2 linked regions of the Schizosaccharomyces pombe genome follow. The protein of the gene in region 1 interacts with the protein of each later gene in a pairwise test. Each region holds a gene or a part of one and is shown on either strand. Other genes may lie near its edges. The genes, in order: rpl3202 and nap2.

Region 1 (3,092 bases):
TGCGTAAATTATTTCGGTAAATACTTAGTTTGAGAAAATAAGACAATGATTATCAGTGTTTTATACGTAAGAATAGTCTATTTAATTAAAGTATAAGATCAACACTGACTACAATCTCCTTTTAATGTTTGAGGGGCTGACGACCCTCCTAATCTGCTTAGTAAAGCAGTTTTGAGTAATAAAAAAGAGAATTTATGTCAAGCAAGAACAAACCAGTTTAATGGATTAGGATATAAGAGTGCTCGATGGCAAAACATTTATCGAAAAAATTATGTAGGAATCCAAAAAACCTGCAAATCCAGCGTCCTCCAGCTCAGATCAGCGCTAAAATATGTAAAGTTTTTGAAAAATGAAATGTTGTCATCCACTGAAACACTTTCTAATTGATCTTTGGTACTTTAAATCAAAACCAAAGACAACGTTAAAAAATATACAATGTAACCAAGGATGAAAAGAAAAAAGTTTGAAGTTGAAGGTTTAAATGGACAAGATGAGGTTTGAAGTTATAAGTTAAAGTAGACAGCTTCATGTTCGAATAGTCTAGATATACATTTGCAGAGATAAGCTTAAACAGATCTGAAAAAATTTGTCCCGAGTAGATGCGTTTGAATACATATTTGATGTGTTTGAACGAAATATAAGAATAGTTCTCAATTAAATAAAATATTAATGATATACGTTTAAACGGTTTGAGAGCCAAATGATCTGTTTCAGAACTCTTCGTTCATCTTATCGAATGCAGAAAAGCTAAATGAAAACGACTGCGTCACGTTTAACCATTTTTTTTAAAAGTGAGAAACTTTTTAAATTAAACTGTGAAAGGGAAATTTCGCTTAATAAACTAAAAGTTATCAACGATTATACAAAGAGTTTTTTTCCAATACCAAAGTACTTTCATTAACTGTACTAAGTCGTGATTCTAATTTACTCCTGAGAGCGAACCTTAGCACCGGCATTGGTGACCTTTACACCGAGAGCACGAGCCTTTTCAACAATTTCAACACGCTTACGAGCAGAGACGTTACCAGCAATCTCAGCAGCATAAGTCTTGTTATGCATCAACAAGAGCTCAACATCTGAAACGTTACGGACTAGGAAAGCCTTCAATCCATTAGGCATGCAGTATCTGGTCTTCTTGTTATTTCCATAACCAATCTTGGGCATGGAAATGGTGCCACGGAAACGACGACGAACACAACTATCAATACCTCTGGGCTTTCTCCATGATTCTCCAACACGCTTGAAGCGGTCAGACTGATGGCGCTTGAAGGGCTTGGTGCGCTTCTTGATGATATTGACAGCAGCCATTTCTGTTGTGTGGGTGGAAAAGTTAGCACTTGTGTTGTGAGTGTGTTTTGGAACGAACGTGACTGCTTTTTATGGGGATGGTAGCTGAGTTTTCATTTTTTGCGCTATAGTTCCCAGATTTGACATGTTGAAAAAGAAGTTAATAATATCTCTATTTAAATGATCAATAACATTATAAAACTAATCATTCTTCATTTTCATTTCTGTAATATCCCGTATTTAGCTTTGCATATCAAACTGATTGCTTTTCTTCAATGTTTCCTCCGTAACGCGAAATTGTTTCACTACCTTTAAATACCGAGCTTTTTGTAAGATACGCAAAACATACTTAACAAATTGAAAAATAACGCACACATCCCTCTACTTTGATAATAAACTTAAAAATGTATGCGCTACATATCGATATAATATTTAACGGTTTCCTCAAGCGACTTCAATTTCCGATCCACGTGGCCGTTAATCCCTAAACTTGTTTAGTCAAGCGACTACCGCTCTCGCTGATCACTGACATAGCGTGTACCTTCCCGCCTCTTCCCGCTCAGTTGGATTTCTTCGTTACACCAGCTTTATTTTACACAGTTTCCTTTCTCCTCCCTCCTCTCCGTTTCTGCAATTTCCTTACCTTTTCATTAAAGGAAAAACGACAAACTTATAGTAATCTCTATGTGTTTACATACTTGATGAACCCGTTGTTTCCTTTTTCCTTGCTTAATCCATCAACGATGTGGTCGTCCTCGCAAAACACTTCATTCGTTTGGGTGGTGATAGCGACAGGTTTCCTTTTTCATTTGGTTCTTTTTGTACTGTCATACGTGCTGGGATGGCCCTTTACAAATTTTGGATTCTTCTCCGTGTATGGCCTACGACACACGTTCCGTAATGGAGACTCGGTTTTCATCTCGTATGTGGCACTTCGTCTGCATCGTCCTTCTACTTCCAAGCCCTATTTACTGCGCATTGTAACCAAAGGCTTGATTTATACTCCATCACTTTCCAGTGCTAATGATGCACAATCGGCTGGTAAGAATGAGAACCAAAGATCTCGATTGGTGTTTAAAGCAAAGCGTGAGGAAGAAAAAACGGAGGAGAAATTTTGTCATGCCGTTTACATGTCTAACTTACTTCGCAATGTGGAGCAAAAATGGATTCAGTTTCTTCACAAATCTTGGATGAAATGGCTTCACATTAGTATCCAAGAATCTCAATTGACATTTCCCTCTGTAGGAACATTCGAGTTGGGCAGTCTTTCGATGGAAATGCGTCCTGAAACCAATAATGTCGTTGGATATGAAAATCCGTCTGATCCCGAACTTGTATCCTCCTGCGTAATTTGTAGCATTCGCTTGGCAAACCTGGTTTACATTGACCGCCGGCAGAGCAGTCAACAGATTACCGATTATTTGGACTTAAGCTTACAAACCTATTACTCTTTAGATAAATCAAACGTTCCTGACACGATTCTGCGTCTTCGTTCTTCCATCAAAGTGGGTGTGTTATATATAGATCTAGATACTCCACTTTTTGAGCATTTGTTAAATTCAAATTCTTCCGGAGGAAATCATTCTTCCTCCTCCTCCTCCTCTGGAAAAGTTCATGTGATGAAGGATAATGTTGAAGCGGCCTTATTAAAGTTACAGGAAGCTCAAATCCAGATCGGTACATTGAAGCTTTGGAAGAGAAATGTAACGGGATGTGGAGCCACCTATATCTTAAATGGTAGTGATTTTGGACTGAATTTGATTTTACTGAACAAAAAGAATCCTTCCCACAGAATGTTTTTCCCC
Region 2 (4,187 bases), on another chromosome or scaffold:
TTAATGACATTAGTAGCATCGCAGTGTTATTATTTGCAGCTCATAACTTCTCATTAGTAAGGTAAACATATGTAGCAAAAGATGGGTTCCTGCTGTTTGAAAAGCAATTGTTTTAGGTCTCAGCAACAAATTAGAGGTATTCAATATAATTCTTTTGAAAGATTGGTGAAGAGAATGAATAGACATCTCTACTTGTGTTCATATAATAATTACGTTTTGACAATCGAAGTAACTAAACTTAGAGTTACAAGAGGTAGTGATTTATTGTCAGAACCGTTATTAGTTGTAGTTCTTCCAACCTAGTACTAGTTCTTATACCTTATCATATAAACTCGGTGTGAGCTAACAATGCACTTAAAGATTGTTAATTAATGTACGAACAGATCTAGCTTTGACGTATAAAATAAATAGAAAAAGCTATTGCAGATAGTTATAGTAATAGCCGCTTACTTTTTGCTGGCTGTCCGCATTATCATTTTAGAAAAGCAAATGCTAATAAATAACACCACAGCTTCAAATAATGCGCGTACTAACCTAATACTAGCTATTAAAAAAGGAACCATGTAAGTAGAATATACTCACAGAATGATAAAAAATTACTTAGTATATTTTTTATACCTGCATTGGAAAAAAAAATTCAAAATTTAAAAAGACAAGAAAACAAATTGAAATTTTAAAGACAAATCCTAACTTAGATCCGCTTATTAAATATTTTATAGGATACTACGACGTAAATCAACATTTTAATTTTTTAAGCCACAATAAACTTACCAAACTATAAGCGAAATTATCATTCAGCGTCAATTTCTCATTTTTGCTCACATTGAACTTACTCATAATCTAACGAACACAATATAAATATCAATCACTAATTTCGCTACTCAAAATTTCTTCGTCATCTGAAGACAGATCCTCCTCATCAGTATATGCGTCTTCAGAGTCTTCTTCATCCATTTGGTTAAAATCGCTCAAGTCACCTTCTTCTAAGAAACAGTCAATTGCCAAGGGTATGATTTGATCTTTAAAGACTTCTCCCAATTGATAGTCGAGTTCTAAAAGCTCTGTTTTGTCATCCAAACCATCATCAGATTCATCATCGTCCAACTGAGGAGGTGAGAAAAAGTTGAAAAAACTGTCATTAGGGACCGTAGTACGGACCAATCTAGTTTGATTTGTTTTACGGTTACGTTGTTTTTTTGTCTCCACTCTAACCGTTAAATTTTTTTCAGGCTTGATCCAATTAATCTTATCACCCTCAGCATGATCATACAAAAACTCACCCGAAGGACTTAAATCATCTTTATAGTAATAAGTTTTCGTTAAAATCTTGTTTGTAAAGTAATCATTTGAGTCAAATTCGAATTCTAGTTTGTAACCATGAACATCTCCCGAAAGGTTGGTAAAACGAATGTCGCTGAGTGATCGCAAGACATTTTCATCTTCTGGTGTTATCATTTCGCCAACCAAGAAAACATTATGAAGACAAGTCAGCCAAAATTCGGGAATTCCCTTAGGATCTGGAAGATTATTTTGAAATATTTCTTCCTCGTGATCTAATTCGTCGTCCACTGGTTCAGAAACACCCTTGATAATTTCGGCTCTTCTAGAGAAAATAGGTTGATATTTTTTCTCGTATTTTGTTTCCAGATCTAACATTTTTTGACGAAATTCATATTGAATTGCATCACAATCTTTTTGAAGGCCTTTCAATGCTGTAATACGATTTTGGACTGCTGGCGCAAGGCTCTCTATATATCCCGACGACTTTCCAACCAACGAGCTAAGGCGTCCCTCAATCATTGATAACATGGCCGGATTGTTGCGCAATAACCCGCTAACTTCATCATGTGCTGATTTGTCCTCCAGTTGTGATTGCAAGGTTTGTCTAGCTTTTTCTAATGCGGCCTTACTAAGATGTACATCTGAAGATGGAGTATTTTGTGGCGTTTGAGCAGCAAACCCATTCCAAGACTTCTTAAAATCTCCTGGACCTTTAGACATATTTTAATAATGCAAACGGAGATTAAATTAAATTGGTAAAGCTTCGTTGTTGGACTGTGGATCTTCGTGAAGTCTACCAAAGAGATGTTGGGCCTGACTCGTTATTGCAGCTTAGCATATTTTAATGATATGTTTACAGCATTTTTCGTATGAGAGTCTTTAATGAAATATATTTATGTGTTTAGCGGCTATCATAGTTTGGGATAGTATTTGGGGTTTTATTTGGAAGAATATGTAAAATTAGAAAGCATCCGGAAGTTTACATATACGTTGACTTTTTTCTCTCCGCTTTCCTTATACTTTCTCTGACAAAGGTAATGGATTGTATAAACCAAAGGCGCTGCTTTCAAATTCTGATGTAGCTGTCCAAATAGCTAAAAAAAAAATCAATGAAATAAACAAATGTATATATCTCGTTTAAGCAAAGTGTCTACGCTATTCATATTAGTTTAACATATGTATCGTATCCCAATTATTAGTTGAAAATTCTATAAAAAATATATATATATGGATACTGATTAATAAACAACTCTACGTATCATATACTTCTATATTCATGAGTTAAACAACCTTATTGTAGCATTTGTTTACTAGTTAGTTGCCCACGGAGGAGCGAAAAACTATCGGAACATAATTCAAAAGTCAAACTTGTAAATAAAAATCTGCTATTGTAACGGTCATTGCTAACTTAAATAAACAAATCATAATTAATATATATAAATTTATTAGCGATCGTTCTGTAAATAAATAGAAAATGAGAATGAATAATCCAACAGAAAAATATATATATATATAGTAAATTAAAGAATAAAGAATAAACTAATACACTGTATTGAGTACTAATGGACTTGGAAACGAGGTAAATGTTTCACTCACAACACTTTCAAACAAATGAAATATTTTCTTACATTAAATTTTAGGTTCAAATAAACCAAACTGTTTTGCTTTTTAGATTTTTCATTCACATTTTATGATAAACAATGCGATGATACCAAATAATGTTACTTGTGTATGGTGTTTGTTTGCTACCTTGACAATTATTCTCTGATGCAACGTTTTTTCAAAGAGGTTTTCATTACTATACATTTACCCACTACGCCAAATTTGCTTTGAAAATGAATTTGACATTCAAAAATCTACAGCAGCAGAAATTTGTTATTTCTGATGTTTCTGCAGATACCAAAGTATGATAATTGTGGCATATTATTTTTCTAACGTAAACAGATTTCAGAATTAAAAGAAAAAATTCAAACGCAACAGAATTATGAAGTCGAACGTCAAAAGTTAATTTACTCAGGTATATAACATAATTTTAATATGTAAAATACTAATTTATAGGTCGAATCCTTGCTGATGACAAAACTGTTGGCGAATACAATATAAAAGAACAGGATTTCATTGTATGCATGGTTTCACGACCCAAAACTTCCACCTCTACTCCGAAATCAGCTGCCAGTCCTGCCCCCAATCCTCCGGCTTCCGTACCTGAAAAGAAAGTTGAAGCTCCTTCTTCTACCGTGGCGGAATCTACCTCTACTACACAAACTGTTGCTGCTGCTGCCCCTTCAAACCCAGATACTACTGCCACTAGTGAAGCACCAATAGACGCCAACACATTGGCAGTTGGTGCTCAACGAAATGTTGCTGTCGAAAATATGGTAGAAATGGGATACGAACGCAGCGAAGTTGAAAGAGCCATGCGTGCCGCTTTTAACAACCCTGATCGGGCAGTGGAATACTTATTAACTGGTATTCCCGAAGACATTCTCAATCGACAGAGAGAAGAGAGTGCTGCAGCCCTTGCTGCTCAGCAACAGCAAAGCGAAGCCCTTGCTCCTACTTCCACTGGCCAGCCAGCGAATCTTTTTGAACAAGCTGCTTTATCAGAAAATGAAAATCAAGAACAACCTTCTAATACCGTTGGTGATGACCCTCTAGGCTTCCTTCGTAGCATTCCTCAATTTCAACAGCTAAGACAAATTGTTCAACAAAATCCACAGATGTTGGAAACTATATTGCAACAAATTGGGCAGGGAGATCCTGCATTGGCTCAAGCTATTACGCAAAATCCTGAAGCATTTTTGCAATTATTGGCGGAGGGTGCCGAAGGCGAGTCTGCCTTACCTTCTGGTGGAATTCAGATTCAAATTACTCAAGAAGAATCTGAGAGTATTGATAGAGTATGT

What was found.
Region 2: the proteins of rpl3202 (region 1) and nap2 interact in a two-hybrid assay, tested with the Schizosaccharomyces pombe proteins (2 studies listed by BioGRID).

Annotation. Positions count from the first base shown.
Region 1 is NC_003424.3:3,414,734-3,417,825, forward strand, and holds rpl3202 (60S ribosomal protein eL32), read right to left. Parts: upstream 1,324-3,092; 5' UTR 1,309-1,323; coding exon 925-1,308; 3' UTR 675-924; downstream 1-674. Other genes in the region: protein hob2, read left to right, coding at 1,989-3,092.
Region 2 is NC_003423.3:2,983,848-2,988,034, forward strand, and holds nap2 (nucleosome assembly protein Nap2), read right to left. Parts: upstream 2,053-4,187; 5' UTR 2,002-2,052; coding exon 862-2,001; 3' UTR 660-861; downstream 1-659. Other genes in the region: UV excision repair protein rhp23, read left to right, coding at 3,117-3,185, 3,226-3,298, 3,340-4,181.